Linked DNA regions of Coturnix japonica. The protein of the gene in region 3 purifies or fractionates together with the protein of the main gene of each other region. This does not show direct contact. Links are inferred from orthologs where the notes say so. Each region holds a gene or a part of one and is shown on either strand. Other genes may lie near its edges.

Region 1 (4,263 bases), on a different chromosome or scaffold from region 3:
CCCAAAAGAGCTGGATACAATTTCTGTAGGACGACCACAAGGCCAGTGGACAGTGAGCCAAATGCGCTCTTTAACAGCAGGATCAACAGCTCCACCTCTTCTCTTTGTGGGTGGCAACTTCAGAGTCATTACACCTTTGGAAAAGAAAGGGATCGTCTCGACTTTGTACATCCAAATTCTCAGAAAAAAAGACCTGAGAATCTGAACTTTAAGTAGGCTCCCCACTATTTAAACTATTGAGTTAGCAAATGAAACCCACAGTTAGAAAGGAGCACTTCACCTATGTTGTTGTCTCACTCAAATGATTAATCTTACTTACTTCTGCCTCTAGTACAGCTCCATATCCGTATTGTCTGATCTTTGCTTCCTGAAGCCAAGTAACAACTTTTCTTCATGGCTGTATCTTGTTTCAGCTCCCCGTTTGGAACATCACCTTCTTCTGAAGGAAACACCATTGAAGTCTGTTATTATACTTTGGAATTCAAAGCTCTAAACGTTAATTGAAAATCTACTACTCTGGATCAGAAAATATTTTACTTGAACTAGTTACCTCTGATTAGCTACCTACTGACCTTACAGGGATAAGGAATTTAGTTCTCCACAGGGACATTCTCCTGAGCTAAGTATCACTTCACAAACTACGTATCACTTCTACGTACCTTGGAGCTCATCTTGCCAAGCAGGTAACCTTCCTTCTCCAGGTACAGGACACCAGGCCAGACAATGAATTTCATCATCGTGACCTCTTAACCGATGAAGAACTTCTTTTTTCCTGCTGATATCAATTATAACCACCATGCCATCCTTGTAGCTAAAAACAGAGATTTCAGTTAATGATAGATTGTTAAACCCTCACGGAATAACAACTAATCTGATTTGCAAGCTATTACCCAGGATCAGTGTCTCCACATTACAGAGAAGCCCAATCACAAGTGGCAATGAGACCAGTCAACTGGAGCTCAAGTGTAGCACTAGCACAAACACAGCTGCCTTCTGTTTGTGAAGTGCAACCAGGGAGTATATTTGGCTCCAAGAACAACACCAATTTATCAGCAATACAGTTTTCAGAGCCTTATAAAGTAATAGAGACTTTTATATAAGGAAAGCTGTTCCCTTTTCCACAAATAACTTTAATTCTCTCTCATCTCTTTTGAAAGGCTTTCATGTTCCTGCTTTGTTCAGTAGTCTTAGGTGTCCAAAGGACTGAAATGGCAGCTGTTGGTAAAGAGACAGTAAAGCTATGAAACTCTCTTCAGATGATGTAACCTGTAATGTGAGGAATGTTAATGAAATCTAATTTACAAGACACTTTGAGATGGAAGAACGGAAAGTAAAACGTAACACTTACCCAATAGCCACCAGGTTTTCATGATGAGGAGAACAAGTGAGACAAAAGATTGTCCGAGGCTCTGGGAAGAATTGCTGGCTGTCGTTTCTGCTGTGCCAGTAGCAAACAATTACCCCTTTTTCATCACCGGACACAATCAGATCTTTCACAAGGGGTGACCAGTGTAACGCTGTGATTGCATTCTGAAGAAAGGCAATTGAATACATGTAAAGCCATTGAGCACGCTTAGCCACTGAATTCATTTTGTGGGTTCTTTAAAGAACTGAAGCACAAAATAAAGCAAAGTGCATTTAGCAGTTGGCTCTTTTGGGATGGAAAACTTGCTCTAACAGCCTGCCTAGAGATCATCCTCAGAGGAAGGTGAGGCCCATAAGATGCCCCATTGTTGATGGTGCTCAAGGCCGTGGATGATGGCTGATATGGTGGGAGGTGTTTCTGCCCACAGAAGTGGGTTGGAACCAGATGGGCTTTGAAGTCACACAGTATCACGGTCTTGTGCAGGTTGGAAAGGACCTTAGAGATCATCGAAGTCCCTTCCAACTCAACCATTACACAGAATCACAGAATGACCCGGGTTGGAAGGGACCTCAAGGATCATGTAGTTCCAACCCCCCTGCCTAGCAGGGCCACCAAACATACACCTTTAACACTTTTACACTGGGATGATATGGAGAAGATCTGGCACCACACTTTCTACAATGAGCTGAGAGTAGCCCCTGAGGAGCACCCTGTGCTGCTCACAGAGGCTCCCCTGAACCCCAAAGCCAACCATTCTGACTGTATAGCACAGGATAACAAGCAACTAATCTACAAGCACTCCCTGTTCTAAACTGTTTGAGTTACCATTTATCTACCAGCATCCTGAGATGCACTAACTGGAAACACCAGGAGGCTGCAAAGCCAGCTGGGTGCGGCAGCAAGGAGGTGCTAACAGCATCCAGCATCCCATTACGATGCTGTAACGGCAGCGTACACCTCAGGCTATGGGAACAAGCAGCACCCAGCACCTCAAGCATCATCGCTCCGGTCCCACCTGGTGCAGGCCGTGCTCTCCCCTCTGCTCGAGCTCCACCGCGTCCCACAGCCTCACGCTGCCGTCGTCGGCTCCGCTGGCGCACAGGGCGCTGTGCTCGCGGTGCGGGCAGAAGGCGAAGGCGGCGATTCGCTCCGTGTGCCCGATCAGCTCCCCTGCACCGGGATAAGCCCCGTGAGAACGCCATTTCCAACGGGAGCTCGGCCGCTCCTATATAAACGCAGAGGGAGGAGGGGGGGTCGAGGCCGTACCGTGAAACGTCGGCGTAGCGGTGCTGACATCCAACACGCTGATCCGGTGCCTGGCGGCGAAGCCGAAGAGCCGCCCGTCGCCGCTGGTGTGGCTGCACCGGCTGCAGTACCAGTTGGGGGATGCGGGCAATACTCGCACCGCTGCCGCCATGCCTGCACGCCGCTCCCGCCGAGCACAGCGTCGCAAAGTGTCGCAAAAACAGGCAGTCTTCCCGCCTGGTTACACATGCGTAGGGAGCGGCCGCCGTAAAGCGAGGAGGGGAAGATGGCGGCGCGGTGTGCGGGAGGTGCTGGTGAGCGTGAGGGGATGAGAGCGGTGTCCCGCGAGTTTCACTCGCTTCTACCCGAGCTCACCTTGTTTCTTCCTTGCAGGTGGAGCCTGGATGCGGGGGATTCTCGGCTGGGCTCGGCCGGAGAGGTGAGTCCGGGGTTCTGCCGTCCTGCAGCAGGCCCGGAAAGCAAATGGGATCCTGGACTCCATCAGGAGAGGGGTGGTCAGCAGGGATAGGGAGGTGATTGTCCCTCTCTACTCGGCTCTTGTGAGGCCCCATCTGTTGTACTGTGTCCAGGTGTGGAGCCCTCAGTACAAGAAAGACATGGAGATTTTGGAAAGGGTCCAGAGGAGGGCCATGAAGATGATCAGGGGGCTGGAGCACCTCCCCTATGAGGACAGGCTGAGGGAGTTGGGTTTGTTCAGCCTGGAGAAGAGAAGGTTGCGGGGTGACCTCATTGCAGCCTTTCAGTACCTGAAGGGAACTTACTCCCAGGAGGGGAGTAAACTCTTCGAAAGGGCTGATAAAAGCAGGACTAGGGGAAATGGTTTTAAGTTAAAAGAGGGAAGATTTAGGTTGGATGTCAGGGGGAAGTTCTTTACTAGGAGAGTGGTTAGGCCCTGGAACAGGCTGCCCAGGGAGGTTGTGGATGCCCCGTCCTTGGAGGTGTTCAAGGCCAGGTTGGACAGGGCCCTGGGCAACCTGATCTAGTAAAGGTGTATGTTTGGTGGCCCTGCCAGGCAGGGGGGTTGGAACTACATGATCCTTGAGGTCCCTTCCAACCCGGATCATTCTGTGATTCTGTGGGTGTGGGCTGTGTGCGTTGGGCTGCTCCCCATCCTCCTCTGCGCTTGGGCTCTGTGTCTCTCATTGGGCCCCATTCTGTGCTTGGTTCAGAGTGCAGTAAGGTCATATCTCTTGTGCCCGACTCTCCTCGGTCCCTGCTCTCCTACAGCGACCAATCCTCTGCTCTGGAGGAGCAGCATGTTGGGGGGTGCTGGTCGTTGCCCGCTGCATCCCCAGTTCCAGAAGTGAAGCTGAGTGTGTGGTACTCAAAGTGCAGAGCTTTGGTCTCTGCTGGAGCCATTGGAGGTCAATCACAGAGCAGTGTCACTGAAGAAAGTGAAATAAAGCCATGTGATGTTCCTGTGTTACTGTCCTTCAGCTCAACTGAATTGCTTTCCCCGATCAGTTCTTCTATTCTGTGCGTCTCCCACCTGTTGTTTATGCATGCTTCTTCCTGTAAAGTTACATAGTAGAAAACTTATGTAAAAGAACCCCCTGGTTGTAAAGTATCAAAACTTCTTTTGCTTGTCCCCTTGTTTTTGCTGCAATGTGTATGTGTCCTTTTTCCTCTCT
Region 2 (4,027 bases), on a different chromosome or scaffold from region 3:
TATGAAAAGTCTTTTGCCTTTCGGGTAGTGTAACTTTATTCAGACCTAGTCATAGTTAAGTCCCTGTTAAAGTCAATCACACTATCCTTAAATCTCTTCATAGATAAGCTCTATTTTACTTCAAAGACTAAAACAATTTGATTTAGTATAGAAAACTGTTATAGACACATTCTTTGTACAACGAGCCTCAAGTGTGTCTTTTGTGATTCACAACAAATTTCACACGCAAGAAAAATCAACCAAACAAAACCAACAGTAACCAGTTGTAAGTGCAGACTCACCTGCTTCCGGCTTGCTTAAATCATAGATACGCAACAATTTATCTTGTCCACCTGTTAACAGATAATTGCTATCCTGAAACAGAAGTTATAAAGGGTCAACTCTACTTTGAATTGAAATACCAGCCTTCATCCATAAGCCTTAAAATACCAGTTATTTCTCTCAGTTTCTAAAACATTTATTACAACTTGTTTGTAAGAGCAAAGCTTAAATGCATGCTAAATTACTTGCCAGCCTAAGCATATGTATAAAAAAAGTAGCAAATAAAAAAATATGCCGAAGACCTTACCTCTCTGTTGAATATGCTATAAAGATTTTCCATACCTGTGTAAAATCCACACTTTTGACAATGTGTTTGTGAGCCAATGTGATTAGTTCATCTCCCGACACAGCATCCCACACTTTGCTAAATGACAAGAGAGAACACGTACATTTCAATAGCTCCAGGATAAATGTGAACACACAAGTTAAGTTGTCTCTCCTAATCTACCCTATACAATCCTTCCTGATACTATCATAACATTTTTAATCCTAAATGCTACATTGTAATGAACTACAGACCTCATATTCTTTCACTGAAGAATTTCTTGTTACTGACCCATCATTTTCTTTCACTAATTTCTTCAGGATAACACATCAGCAGCATTTTAGATTTAAGACAAACAAAGGCAGCTCTTCTCTGCAACTTTTATGGACTTAATTCTAATAACAGGATTTGAATTGTCAAATATATTAATGTATGCTGCAAACAGTTCAAACAAGCAAAACAAAAATAAAAGAAATAATTCATTAATATTTCTGCATGTCTTCTTCTAATAAAAAGTGGTACACAAAACGAAGATCACTCTTGCCACTCTCGTATAACTACAGTACTGAAGTCGAGAACTGCACAGCATTGTTTATTCCAATAAATCAGCACTATAACTAAGTATATATGTCAAGAAGCAACCACAGTTGCTCAGCAAGATAGAATTAGCTGTAGCTACTCATAAAAACCTTAAATTCTAGGCTGTAATACAGATATAAAGTAACAACTTAAACAAAAACAAAACCACAGCAACTTACTACAGCCATATTAAAAAAAAAGGCTATTGACTAAAATCAAGACTCCAAAAGCAGGTAATCACTTACGCTGTAAAATCTGCGGCTGCTGTAGCTGCTTTAGTGGCATCTTTGTTCAACGTAGCACCCCAGACAGCACCTTTATGACCTAGGAAAGTGCCGATCCAGTCTCCTGTGTCACCCTGACGTAGCATAGGCTTTCCATCTTTGGAAAAACAAAACCAATATTCAGACAACATAACAAAAAAAGCAAGCTGTGTTAGGAAACAATTCCCTCACACCAACATGGAGCAATCAAACTGCCACCAGACTGGCCTCCCTTAATGGAAACACCATATACACTGTGAAATGGTATAGCTGAAGAACTTAAATGTACAGATGCACCTCTGAAAAGGAGCACCTTTTGCTGTTTTTTCTTTTCTAATATAGCCAAGTGTTCCTTGGGCAGGTCAGTTCAATTCATTTTAGAACAATATTTTCAGACTAACAGTACACAAAAAAGGAGTCTGGGGTTTGTAATGAGAGATGTTTAAAACACAAAGAGATATGCTGTAATAACGAAATAGAAAGCCTTTACTGTGACTATTTTTTGCTAGGACACAACCAGATATAATTCATGCAATGAATAGAGCTGAACATTAAGTCCTCAGAGACATCGAGGAATGTTCTTTTACACTTGTGAACACAAGTGAACATTAACTCATATGCATAGAAATGAAAATGCTACTCTCATAAATAAGCAGAAGAGAGTTCTTGTGGGAAAGGAAGCAGAAATCACTGCTCCGCAATCAGCAAGGCAGCTACCTTGGTTGCAAAGGAGCTGGTTTTAAAGTGTGTAAAAGTTATAGCTACTTTCAGATAACGATTTTCAAGCCTTTCCTTCGCAAGTGGGATTCAGCCTGAATGAATGGGAGCCTCAAAGCCCTGCGGGCTAAAACCCGGCAGAACCAGCCTCCCACCGGTTCCCTTTTCCATCTGGTCACGCTGGAAGCAGGTATTTAGAACACGGAGGGCCCACTGAACGCTCACCTCAACCCTCCTCCCCACTCTCCCCATCGCAAACCTCTCAAATAGGTGGCTATGGCCACAGCCACGCGCAACCCGCCAACAGCGGCCCGCAACCCACAAGGCCTCAGTGCGGAGCAGGCCCAGCCACTGCGACTATTGAAAGGGGCCGGTGAAACGAGCACGGCCGCCCACCCCTCGCCCCCCCAGCCACGCTCACCCTTGCAGGCACTGATAAGGAAGTAGCCGTAAGGGGTGACGCCGCTGAAGGCCAAGTCCACCACGGGTCGCGTGTGCCCGGAGCACGTCAGCGGGGTCTGCCTCATGGCCATGGCGGCGGCTGAGCTCGGGACGCGCAGGGAGCTGGGCGGGGACGCGGCTACACTCCAGCCGGGTGGGAAACGGCGACCGCGGTGTTGGCGGCAGCGGAGGAAATGACGGCGGAGGAAGCGTTCCGGAGAGGAAATACGTCAGAGAGCGGGTGCGGAAGGGGAAGTGCTGGTAGCCGGTACGTGAGCTGTGGTGTTCAAAGAGGAAACTGCTCTGGGGAGGAGATCCCACCATTGATGTAATTGATAAACATATTGAAGAGCATTAGCCCCAGTATTGACTCTTATGGGATCGTCACTGATCTCCACCTTGACACTGAGCCACTGACCACCTCTGTCTGCATACTATCTCACAAGTTCCTCATCTGTCAGACAGTCTGCCCATCAAATCCATTTATTTCCAATTTGGAGGGAATGTTACAGGGGACCACATCATACCAATCAAAATTTGATTAAGTACTAAAGTCCAAAGAGATTATCCCTGCCTCTTAAATCCATTGTAACACTAACGTTTAGGTGTGTTTATTCCCTACAGTCTGACAATCTTTGGTTTAGAAATGGATTAATTCAGTGCATTCAGACTAGACAACTTTTAATACAAAGATTCTAAGAGAAACCTCAAAGTGAAAAACAGGCACTCAGGTCTTCAAGAAAGGCTGGAGATATTACTGGAAATAGGAAAGGTGGTAAGAGTAGATATTTACAAATGAAAGCCTCACAAGCTTAGAATAAAAATAGTAAGATTTTGTTTTATTTGGTTTTTAGTCAAGGTTGTTGTGTATCAGACAGCAGGAAAGTAAGGGGGAAAAAAAAACATCACATTTTTTTATTCAGTGTTTCATATTTATCTGTTCATTATCCAGACAATTATCCAATAGAATTAAATAAATATTCATTAACTCCAGCTTGTCAGGAAGTAATCAGGGACTTGTAATCATATAGAGCAATTCACCCCATCACTGCACAGAATAGCAAGTGTGCCAATCAGATGTTATAAAGCACCTGGGCCTGACTCTGTCACTGGTGACTTATAATATTTGCTTGATTAGAAACATCTTTTCACAGTGATTGAATTTTCTTAGAAATCGTTGCTGAACATGAATAAAGCTATCTTAGTGAAAAATCATGTTTCTAGTGCTTTGATTAAAGTAGATCAAGCAGAGATTGAATCAAGGAGTTTGGTGTACATATTTACATTTCCAAAGATTCCTTTCTGCTCCTGCGCTAGATAACAATGTTGAAAATGCCTTCTCTTGCCACTGAGGGGAGCTCCGTACATATCTATTAGCACGTCACCGCTCTAGCTGAGAGATTCTGCTCTGGGGTGACTTTTTGATTGTGATTTCAGCTTG
Region 3 (4,017 bases):
TGGAAGCCAGTAGAAATTCTTTGTGAGTGTTTACAAAGAGTTAATAAGGGAATTTAGCTGTAGTGGATGGAGAATAAGTTACAAAGAGATGGATGAATCTGTAGTGAGTACTCAGTGCTGGTACTTGAGATGCATGGATGTTTCTTTGCACTCCACGTGTTAGTCTTATGGGGTCTGGTGTTACTTTGGATGTCATGCAAAAGTAAAGAGACAGAGCCTGTGCCACAGCTTTCAGCCATAGATTGTGTGAGTACTGCAGGAGCTGATCTGATGCAGCCACAAAAACAAGTGGAGATGGGCAATGCAGCATAGAAACACTGAGTCTGTTTGGAATCCCTCCCTCCAAACTCCAGTGGAGGGCTCAGAAAATTGATTAAGCCTCCACAGACATTGGTGTCTTTGTGAATTAAGGTGATGTGTCTGTCTACATGGCAGAGGACAGTGATCTCTGCATCCAGACCCCAACACGCCCGATATCTCAGGGAGAGGTGAGGGAAGCAGAAAGGAGGAGCAGCTCATTGCACGGGGATGTTTTATCACCTCTTCTCTGCCTTTCCCCACTGAGCACAGATAGTCCTGACTGCTCTCTGTTGTCTGCTTGAATCACATCAATTTAAAAGGGTTATAAGAGGCTGCCTTTAACCAAAGCTTTTCTTACATCTCCTTGTCCCTCTCCTTTCCTGGATGTATCCAGAGAATCATCTCATTGGAGACCCGTTTCCACTTTGAGGACCCAAAGGGGAATATCCACTTAGCAATTAAAGAACAAATGGGGTTAAGAGGATGCTGGATGTCACCCCAGCCCTGCCACCACCATCTGCCCTCCCTGCAGGGCTGTTGTGTGCTCAGATATCTATAGGAACATCTCATTTCATGCTAAGAAACAACCAAATAACAGCAAATAGATAATAACCAAATCGACTCAGCCACTTATTTTGCCTTATAAATGCAAACAGGATGAACGAATTGCATTCTGACTGCAGACCACCGCACACTGAGGCTTCCTGGAGGTGTCAGGATGACAAGCAGCGTGTGGTTGAGGTGCATTGCTGCACTGTGGCTTTATTTTGCAGCGTTTTTATGCAGGACAGATCAGAGCACACATAGATAAGCACAGCCTGATAACACACATTGATAAGCACTGATAACACACAGCGCAATGCGCCTATAGCGCCCCCTAGCGGTGCGGCGGGCGCTGAATTCTCGCGTGATAAAGCGAGCGATCTCTTCCGGCTCTCAAGATGGCGGCCCCCGTTGAAGGCCGGTTCCGCACCCGCGATGTGTTGCTGCCCGGTGGCCCGTCTGATTTCGGCTCGTTGCTGTTATCGCCTCCGGTTCTGGAGGGGCTGGAGGCGGCTGGCTTCCATAGACCGTCTCCTGTGCAGCTAAAGGCCATTCCGTTGGGGCGCTGTGGGCTGGGTGAGCGGTAGGCCTCGGGGGTGTGAGAGGGCCTTCCCATTGATATATATGGGTTCTGTGGGGTGTGAGAGGCCTTTCCCATTGATATATATGGGTTCTGGGGGCTGTGAGAAGCCTTTCCCATTGATATATATGGGTTCTGGGGGGTGTGAGAGGCCTTTCCCATTGATATATATGGGTTCTNGCCTTTCCCATTGATATATATGGGTTCTGGGGGGTGTGAGAGGCCTTTCCCATTGATATATATGGGTTCTTTTTAGATCTCATCGTACAGGCCAAGTCCGGTACCGGTAAAACCTGTGTCTTCTCCACCATCGCTTTGGATTCGCTGCTGCTGGACAGCCCGGCCACGCAGGTGAGACCTGGTACAGAACCTGGTTCCGAGGCCTTATGGAGGTGGTCTCTTCATGTTGTGGAAGGGGCATTCTGTTCTATGGGGCTCTTTTCGTTCTGTGTGCACCTATAGAAGTTATCCCCTTCCTTCTTCTTCTTTGTATTCTAACGCCTGCTGTATTACTTTCATAGCTAAGAACATATCCGAGCCCTTCGTATGTTGCATATAAACAGCTGTATTTGAAGTCTGAGCACCTCCCTTATGAGGGCAGGCTGAGAGAGCTGAGGTTCTTCAGCCTGACAGGCCCTTATATCAGCCTTCCACTACTTGGTGGGTTCTCCTATAGGAAAAGCAGGGAGGGGTGTTTTATAAGGGCTTATAGTGACAGGATGGAGGGAAATGCTTTTAAAGTGGAGATATAGAATCATAGAATTACCTGGGTTGGAAAAGACCTTGAAGATCATCAAGTCCAACCGCAGCCTAACCAGTATCCTAACCCTAAAAACCCTCCGCTAAATCATATCCCTGAGCACCACAAAGGCTAGATATTAAGAGGAATATCTTTAATGTGAGGGTGGTGAGACACTGGTACAGGTTGCCTAGTGATGTTGTGGAGGTTCCCTCCCTGGAAGGCCAAGCTGGATGGGGATGTGATTAACCTGGGCTAGTGGGAGGTGTCCCTGCCTATAGCAGAGGATTTAGGACTAGATGATCTTAAAGGTCCCTTCCAGCCCAAACCGTCCTGTGGTTCTAAATCATCACAACTTGATGTGCTTTGATCTTACAAGCTGTTCAGTGGTGTTCAAACACAGCTGTTTGTTACTCGCAGGTTCTTATCTTGGCTCCAACTCGAGAGATCGCTGTGCAGATTCATGCTGTTATCACAACCATTGGGATCAAAATGGAAGGTTTGGAATGCCATGTCTTCATTGGAGGTACTCCTTTGAGCCAGGATAAAGTCCGGCTAAAGAAATGCCACATAGCGGTTGGCTCTCCAGGTATGGGCATGCTTCACTTAGCTTAAACTTCAAGTTAATATTTGAGAAGCTAAGTTTACTTGTATTTCTTCATATGTAGGTCGAATAAAACAGCTCATAGAGTTGGACTACTTGAATACTGCCAGTATCCGGCTCTTCATTCTTGATGAAGCAGACAAGCTGCTGGAAGAAGGCAGCTTTCAGGAGCAGATCAAGTGAGAAAACCACTTACCCTGTGTATTTATCTGCAGATTAGATTAATCTTTGTTATTCATTCCCATTTTTGTCTCTCATAGTTGGATTTACTCTTCACTGCCAGCCAATAAACAGATGCTTGCTGTTTCAGCTACTTACCCTGAATCGTTAGCTAATGCATTGACAATGTACATGAGAGAACCAACGTTTGTGAGGTTGAATCCTACTGATCCTAGTCTCATTGGTGAGTCGTGTTTATTGATCATGTTGTCAATAGATTGTGAGCTAAAATAGCAGCTTAGCTTTTGTGTCTTTATGGACATCCTTAATCTAATGACTGTCTTGGTTTCATGCTCAGGGCTGAAGCAGTATTATAAAATAGTGAATTCGCATCCACTTCCACATAAAACATTTGAGGAAAAAACCCAGCACCTGCAAGAGTTGTTCAGCAAGATTCCATTTAATCAAGCATTGGTCTTCTCGAATTTGCATAGCAGGTAATAAACCCATTCAAGGATGAATTTGCGTCTTTTTTTAACACCTTTTTTAAAGATCTCAAAGCAATATGCAGGTTTCTGAAATACAGGACAGAAATGTTGGAATAGTCTGAAATGTTAACAGTAAAACTTCAGCACAGAAGTACATTAGATTACACTGAGTCCTATTATCTGTTGCTCATGTCTGTTTATAAAGGAACTGTCCATAAGATGATAGTAGAGTCCTTGCCTGTAAAGAACAGTGTTGTGTTAAGGAACATACATGGGCTGTTATATGTGCAGTCTTAATTACTGTTTTTATTGTGTATATTCTATTAGGGCTCAACATCTAGCTGAAATACTAACATCCAGAGGCTTTCCTGCTGAGTGCATTTCAGGTAAACCTGTTTAGAACTTTCTGTTGGTTGAAATGGTGTGTAAATATGATCTAACATAAGAAAATACATCCTGAAAGCTTGATTTACATGGCCTCTGTTTGAATAACTAAGAAGAGCAATAGAATCTTCATGGTCTCTAAGACTTGCATGTTAGTTCAATTTTTGCTTTGATGAAGCTTCTAGTTTGTTTGAGAATCATGTTATGAATACTTGCCCAA
Region 4 (2,479 bases), on a different chromosome or scaffold from region 3:
GCACGAGGGCTGGAGAAGGGTTGTTCCCCCCCACAGCTCTTCTGCCTGCAAAGTCAGAGCTGCAGGAACCATCGTGGGAGCACAGCAGCATCGATGCCATGAGGCAGCCCTGCTGTCAGCAGTGCTGGTCTCAACTAGGGGGACTTTCCTCCCACGCTGCTCCTGCACCTTGAGCAAGGAAGAGGTCTCCCCATAAGCATAACATTCCTTCTAGGGTTCAATGCTGCAGCACCAAACTAATGGTTACATGAGAAGGGACTGTTACAGATCCCTCATCTTTCAGAGCTGATGGCAGCACAGAGTGAGGCACTGCACAAAGGATCTCATGGAGTGGATGCAGCAGTGTAGGCGATGCTGGAGCATGCCCAGCCCCAAGCAGCAGTGCTGGGGATGTGGGAGCTGCGTGCTGTCCCTGCTGGGCTCAGATCTGCTCCTCCAGCAGGGAGCAAAACCAGGCCCTGTGATTCTGCACAGCCTGTTCCCCAATGGTGCCTTTACACTACAGTTGCATTCAGCTTCTGACTTGCCCACACCTTGCTGCTGCTGGGCTCAAGCTTACTTAGGACTCTCCACTTAACTCGAAGGGGATTTTCAGTACCACTGTGATGTCTGTGGCTGACAGGGAGTAGGGCAGCTCTGGAGCCCCAGCAGGATCCAAGGATTGGTTGCACTCTGTCAGAGCAAGCCAGGCAGGCAAGAGCCATCACTGAAGGGCAGGAGATTGCAAAGTCCCTATCCCACCAACACAGAGCCCTTCTATGGCAGGTGATGGCTGGTTTCAACCCCCTTGCCTGGCTGCAGTTGCATAAGGGGATGGGTTCATCTGCCTCATTACCTCTATCAGGTAACTGAAAGCCCAACATGTTTCCTTGCCCCTGCTCTCCCTTCAGCTGACACCAGCAGCACTCTGGGTACAGCCTGAGCTCCAGCTCTGTCCTTCCTGCCCCATCCTGGTCCCCTACAAAGGGAGACCTGCCTGAACCTGGCAGGGAAGGAACTGCTCAGTGCGTGAGGAACCAGCACCACCAGCAGACATACACAAACTGGACAGGTGCCCTTCTTTCTCTGAACACAGCATAAAACTGAGCAGCCAGGTCCTCCCCACAGCCTCCTGCACAAGCCTGGAGTTTCCTCTGTTCCAGAGCATCCAGCTGCACCAGCAGTTGATAGACCAGCACCCACTCTGTGCCTTTCATTCTGTCTAAAAGCTAAAAAGGATGGCTGGAAGGGGCCCAGGCTGGGAGAACCATTTCTTCTGGGTGTCAGATCTTGTCCCAGCCATGGCTGTACAGGCTGGAAAGAATAATAATGATTTTACAAAAGCCTCTTCCAGCACGCAGTCGGTTATTGCACAAGCACTACTGTTACATTAACCATTGAGACAAGCTGCTGTTATAAACCGCTTGCTACCCATTGCAAATATTTGTATATTGCTGTTTTTATTACAGATAATGTGCCTTATGTAAAGACAGTCACTGAGGCATCTCAGTTTGCACTAACACTGCCCTATTTACTACTGTACCTATCAGAAGAGATCAATAAAGACTTCTTTCTTGAGTCACACCACCGGATGCCTCCCTCCCACGTGCCATTCATTGCTGGGTGGGGAGGCATTTAGGCAGCAGTTTGCCACTGTGCACCCACCCTGGGGCAGCAGCCCACACCTATTGCCCAAGGTGCCTGCTCATCCCGCAGAGCATCCTGCTTTGGCACAAACAGCAGTGCAGCCACAGCGAGGAGAGGACAGCCTGACAGAAGTACTTTCCTGGTGCCAGAGGCTTTTTGTGAGCACAGTGAAACTCCAGACCAATATTAAGCAAGGTTGGGGCCAAGGGACTGAGCTCGCAGCAGCAGTAGTTGTGTCTACAGCTGTTTATGTGGCTGCTTTGCTGTTTAGACAGGTTTGGAGGGAACAGAGCAGGGAAGAAATTAGTTCAAAAGTGAAAAATAGATGAGGTTTATTACGGATCTTACAGTTTTCCACATAGTGGTCCCTTGCAGCAGGGTCAGTGCTCTCCTGATTCTCCCTTCGGCTCTTCGTGCTGTCCCTGGCCAAGCAGGCTGCCCTAAGCACCCAGCTTGCTGAGCTTCTGCAGGAGGGGGCTGCGCAAAGCCTTGTCACTGATATTGTCAGTGATGGACTCCAGGAAATGCTTCTCATTGGCTCTCCTCAGTACGTTGCTGGGGGACGTATCAGCAGAACTGAATACCTCATACTGAGAGAGGACCTCCAAGGCCACCACCACCAGCGGCTCACTACACTCACTGTCTGGAGGCAGCATGGCTGCAATGTGCAGGAGGTGGCAAAACACCTGGATGCAGACAAAGGACACCTCCTCCCCGGAGCTCCTGTGCTCAGCAGGGTGCAAGGGGGGCCCTGTGGTGCTCTTGATGGAGCTCAGCAGGTCTGTGAGGCTGCTGCAGTACAGTTGGACCACATGGAGCCAAGCCTGTGGTGGCAACCAGTTGGAACAGCTGG
Region 5 (4,286 bases), on a different chromosome or scaffold from region 3:
GAAATATAGCTATCTTGAAGACACCAAAGAACAGACATGATAATACCAGTTGTTGAATTACACTGTAAAACAAAATTAACCACAAATGTAATGACTAGAAAAAACAGAACTGTTAAGAATTCTACTTACCATGTTAACATTGCTGTCCAAATCCTGTGACCGCCAGTGATTTCTGTGCTTGTTCAGGCTCTGAATAATTAAAGCCAAATCAGTTTTAACTTTACAGTTATTGGATCCTAGCCATAATCTTATCTTCACTTAAAAAAGTATGTTTTGAAATCAGTAAAGGCATTACTGAGCACATATTCATCAAGCCTCTTAGTATAAATATAACTGTTTCTTATACTGGGTTTTTGGAAATAATATTAAAGTCAAAGGAATTGTAAAGTCTACTGCATGACGTTTTAAGTAGTAAGTTTTACTAGTCTTAAAATCTTCATATACACCCTGTTTGAACAGTGTATAGAGAGAGACTGCTCAGTTCTTCAATTCTTTTCTGTCAAAGCAAGATACAAATGTGGTAGGAAAGTCTGTGCTAACACTACCTCCGCACTGCAAATCCATTTTAGCAGATCGGTATTTCTGAACATAATGGCTCCCACTAGTGCCCATAGGACTCTAAATGGACAGTGTTTTACATATATGAAGCTCATGGTGAGGTTGGAATCTACTTGTTCTATAGTTCTACAGAACAACGTAGAACACTGTTGATTTTAGTGTCACTGTGTAACATCACAGTGATTTCTGTCCTTCATGGAGTGCTATGTATCATTCAGTGTAAATACTGCCAGATATTTTTGCTTTAACAGGACCACAGAATGGCCTGGGTTGGAAGGGACCTCAAGGATCATGAATCTCCAATCATGAATCTGATCAAAATGTCATGAATCTCCCTGCCACGGGCAGTGCCACCAACCTCCACATTTAATAATAGACCAGGCTGCCCAGGGCCCCATCCAGCCTGGCCTTGAACACCTCCAGGGATGGGGCATCCACAACCACTCTGGGCAGCCTGTTCTAGCACTCACCACTCTTATAGTAAAGAACTTCCCCCTCACATCCAACCTAAATCTTCCCTCTAACTTAAAACCATTTCCCCTTGTCCTGCCATTATCTACCTTTTCAAAGAGTTGACTCTCAGGAATGAGTTTCATCAGAAGTTTAAAAGCCTCACAGTATATTCACATTTTATTTTTCTATTTTTATTAAGAAATTAAAGCAGTTGACTAGCAACATCTGATCAAAATGTCATGGCTTTATGGCAGGAAAGATAGAAGGTTGTCCCCCCTAAAGCACAGATGTGCAAGTTTAAAGCATCCCTCCAGTCTCCATCACACACAGAATTTTCTACCTGACGAACAGATGAGAAATTGGCCACTTGCTGCTGCTGCCACTTGAGTGTTGGAGAGTATCCTTCCGGAGCAGGCTGACAGCCAGAAATCTAAGAAAACACTGGCAATAATTATAATGTATAAAAAGCTTTATAAAAATAATCCTTAAAGAACAAGAGAAGTAGTAAACAACAACGACAGACTGCCAGCAGATAAAAATACAAGTACTCGCTTTAAGAAAGGCAATTTCCTGACAACTGATTTAACAGTTAGTCTGGACAAAATTCATCCTGCTTGATGGTGCATGTATGCAAAGAAGGAAAATTAAACACACAGAATGTGCTGTTGAAGAATCATTTAAGGTCATGTTTTTAGCACCTATTCTGCTTTAACTTCCCTGTGAATAAAAAGGAGAGTGCTCCTTTTTATTAACAGAGGGGAAATCCCAATAAGAAATTCCATCAACAAGTGAAGAAATGGTGCTAACATTTCATCTTACGTTAGCTGTACTTACTGCTCTTACTGCCTTACATACATCTATATATGATCTTCAGGGTCTTTGAATCTAGATACAGATATTGCTTTCTTCTAAAGCTCACACATGCTTTAAGATAGACTTGTAGAATTTGGCTCAGCATTTGATTCCTTCAGGCAAAAAGAAGTCTGCTGTGTGTCAGTTAGTAGGGCTATGGCTGATTTACACTGATCAGCTACAAAGACTCCTTATTGCCCAGAAACTCAACAGGTATTTCTTCGAACCCTAAAGTTTTATTTATTTCATTAGGAGCTTTAAGATCCAGCAAAGCTGCTGTTTCAGTTATGCTTATGACCTCCCTATCTTTCCTGCTGCTTGTTTCTTATAGCAAAAGGAATAGAGCAGCCCAAACTTACTGCAATATTTACTGTCTGCTTCTTTCTCAGTTTCTTGGGGTCTATTTGTGCCACGACCACATCTGGGCATCGCGCTGCTTCGATCCTACAAAATAAAACCAAACCACTGTATTGCAATGGGCAGTTATAGGACGAATGCCTCTGATATACGGCACCTGCAGAAATCTTCACTTATGCAAAAACCAACTGACTCCACGGGCAATTGTTACAGAAGGTCTGACTTCAGAATTAACTCTTTATAAACAACTGCACTTATGTTTGCATGCTCCTAAACTGCCTTGAAGTGAGGCCCGACCGGCCCGCCGCCAACCCCCGTCCCTCCACTCACTGGACGCGCCTCAGGTACTCCTGCGGCGTGCGGGGCGGCACGCTGGGGTCGAAGTCGTCGGGCAGGTCGCAGTCCTCCACGGGCAGCAGCCGCGGCATCAGCTCCTCCACGGCCGCCTCCATCGCCCCGCCGACACGGCCGACCCGCCTCTCCCCGCCGGCCGCCGGCCCGGCTGCTCTCGCGAGAGACGTTCCTCGCGCAGGCGGAGCGCCGCCGCCGTGCCCGGGCGTTACGGCCATTGCGGGGCTGTGCACTGTGCCGTCCTGCCGGGGAACCGGCCACAGCGATAACCCCGTTACTGAGCTGGACGGCACCTCTGATAACCACATTTAGGCCCCGCGTCATTACCTACCTTAGCTTTCGCAAGTAGCTCTTCACAACTCACCCATACTGTCTATTCCGCCCGTGGAAGGGCAGTAATAATTCTTATCCCTTCCTTGTCACGTCTAGAGACCTACAGTGCAAATTAATTGCCTAAAAGGTCACTGCTGTAAATCCAGGTGTAGTCCTGGAAGCGTTTGGCTGAGGTTTCATTTTGTTTCTGGATGGGTTTATCCCAAATCAAAGCAGCAGTAGCACTGAGGTGGGTTACTTCTCAGGTAAAACACAGAGGGACAATGCTGTACTTACTGAAATAGTGTAAATTGTCCCTTATTAAACTCCTGTGTATTGTTGTTTCTTAGTACAGCATGTCATCAGTGTGCTAAATGCAGCCCATACAGCAGAACAGCCTCTTACATTGACCTCGGTTTTGTCCTTTATTTTCCCATAAGACTGTAGGTTAGCAGTTCCAAACAAACATCAGCCTTAACTCCTCCTCTCCGCTGACCTTTTGTTTGCTTTAAGGTGTTTCTAAATCCACTTACGTGTAACAGGGAGCCCGGATTTCACATCCTGCTTGAGTGCAACAGCTGCAGTCATTGCTGGACATAAGTCCAGCGAGCCCAAAGCCACAGCAATGGCCCCGCTGACCAACAGTCCAAGCAAAAACAACGGTGAGTAAAACTGAGGAGTCCTCTTCTAAAGCTTTGGTCATATTCTGAAGTTATATTTTTCTATCTGTCACGGAGTCAAGGTCTTTGAACGGAAAGAGATGCCAGAAATACAAATGTTTGGGTTTGGTTTGTTTTTTAATATATTTTCTGTACATATTATTTGCTGGAACTTCTGATTGATACCATTTAATCCAAGTAACTTTGCAAAACGATTGCAGGCAATCTAACAACAAAACTATCACGGATTTTAGCAGCGATGTCGATGCAACAGCTGGTCAATGGAATTCAGTGGAAGAAGAGGAATAAGCACCTGGAGCAGAGTATCATAGCTGTTTCTCAGCTGCGTAGCCATTATTTTCCACATAAAAGGTGAGCTGCTACCTGCGGCCATGCACTGCTGCCTAAGAACATCTGACACGTCGACAGTGTTGCTGTTATTGCCTCTCTTTGCTTCTCTTGGTTCTTATGTAATGGCATTTAACTGTGCTAACAACTCATGAGAAATACCATACATGCCATGTCCTCGGCACCATCCAGCTGGATACTCCCACAGCTGGCATTGGGAATCAAGGGCAGTGAGTATTAAAACCCTCTCTTCCAGATGTGCTTTTGTTTGGCTACTCATGTTTGTAGACTAAAGAGAGCCGGCAAACAATCCTGTGGATAGTCATGGTATAGAACCCAGAAAAGCAACAACAACAAAGACAAAAACTGGATTGTACATTCAGTGCTACCTAAAAC

What was found.
Region 1: the proteins of DDX20 (region 3) and GEMIN5 purify together in Homo sapiens (affinity purification with western blotting; 6 studies listed by BioGRID and IntAct, counting the BioPlex papers as one, with this or other methods). This does not show direct contact. The link is inferred for Coturnix japonica from reciprocal best matches to the Homo sapiens genes DDX20 and GEMIN5.
Region 2: the proteins of DDX20 (region 3) and STRAP purify together in Homo sapiens (affinity purification with mass spectrometry; 3 studies listed by BioGRID and IntAct, counting the BioPlex papers as one, with this or other methods). This does not show direct contact. The link is inferred for Coturnix japonica from reciprocal best matches to the Homo sapiens genes DDX20 and STRAP.
Region 4: the proteins of DDX20 (region 3) and GEMIN4 purify together in Homo sapiens (co-immunoprecipitation; 7 studies listed by BioGRID and IntAct, counting the BioPlex papers as one, with this or other methods). This does not show direct contact. The link is inferred for Coturnix japonica from reciprocal best matches to the Homo sapiens genes DDX20 and GEMIN4.
Region 5: the proteins of DDX20 (region 3) and GEMIN2 purify together in Homo sapiens (affinity purification with mass spectrometry; 6 studies listed by BioGRID and IntAct, counting the BioPlex papers as one, with this or other methods). This does not show direct contact. The link is inferred for Coturnix japonica from reciprocal best matches to the Homo sapiens genes DDX20 and GEMIN2.

Annotation. Positions count from the first base shown.
Region 1 is NC_029528.1:6,019,494-6,023,756, forward strand, and holds the start of GEMIN5 (gem-associated protein 5), read right to left. Parts: upstream 2,813-4,263; 5' UTR 2,784-2,812; coding exon 2,633-2,783; intron 2,537-2,632; coding exon 2,382-2,536; intron 1,531-2,381; coding exon 1,349-1,530; intron 812-1,348; coding exon 660-811; intron 452-659; coding exon 320-451; intron 135-319; coding exon 2-134; intron 1-1. Other genes in the region: MRPL22 (39S ribosomal protein L22, mitochondrial), read left to right, coding at 2,898-2,925, 3,005-3,050. UniProt on the Homo sapiens protein: The SMN complex catalyzes the assembly of small nuclear ribonucleoproteins (snRNPs), the building blocks of the spliceosome, and thereby plays an important role in the splicing of cellular pre-mRNAs.
Region 2 is NC_029516.1:57,765,947-57,769,973, reverse strand, and holds the start of STRAP (serine-threonine kinase receptor-associated protein), read right to left. Parts: upstream 2,802-4,027; 5' UTR 2,679-2,801; coding exon 2,567-2,678; intron 1,547-2,566; coding exon 1,411-1,546; intron 686-1,410; coding exon 604-685; intron 355-603; coding exon 282-354; intron 1-281. UniProt on the Homo sapiens protein: The SMN complex catalyzes the assembly of small nuclear ribonucleoproteins (snRNPs), the building blocks of the spliceosome, and thereby plays an important role in the splicing of cellular pre-mRNAs.
Region 3 is NC_029541.1:3,411,387-3,415,403, forward strand, and holds the start of DDX20 (probable ATP-dependent RNA helicase DDX20), read left to right. Parts: upstream 1-1,206; 5' UTR 1,207-1,241; coding exon 1,242-1,419; exon of another isoform or gene 1,420-1,426; intron 1,427-1,679; coding exon 1,680-1,774; intron 1,775-2,582; coding exon 2,583-2,751; intron 2,752-2,830; coding exon 2,831-2,945; intron 2,946-3,026; coding exon 3,027-3,169; intron 3,170-3,283; coding exon 3,284-3,422; intron 3,423-3,740; coding exon 3,741-3,799; intron 3,800-4,017.
Region 4 is NC_029534.1:5,686,165-5,688,643, reverse strand, and holds part of GEMIN4 (gem-associated protein 4), read right to left. Parts: coding exon 2,067-2,479; 3' UTR 1-2,066. UniProt on the Homo sapiens protein: The SMN complex catalyzes the assembly of small nuclear ribonucleoproteins (snRNPs), the building blocks of the spliceosome, and thereby plays an important role in the splicing of cellular pre-mRNAs.
Region 5 is NC_029520.1:34,102,041-34,106,326, reverse strand, and holds the start of GEMIN2 (gem-associated protein 2), read right to left. Parts: upstream 2,805-4,286; 5' UTR 2,790-2,804; coding exon 2,551-2,789; intron 2,308-2,550; coding exon 2,223-2,307; intron 1,442-2,222; coding exon 1,352-1,441; intron 190-1,351; coding exon 130-189; intron 1-129. UniProt on the Homo sapiens protein: The SMN complex catalyzes the assembly of small nuclear ribonucleoproteins (snRNPs), the building blocks of the spliceosome, and thereby plays an important role in the splicing of cellular pre-mRNAs.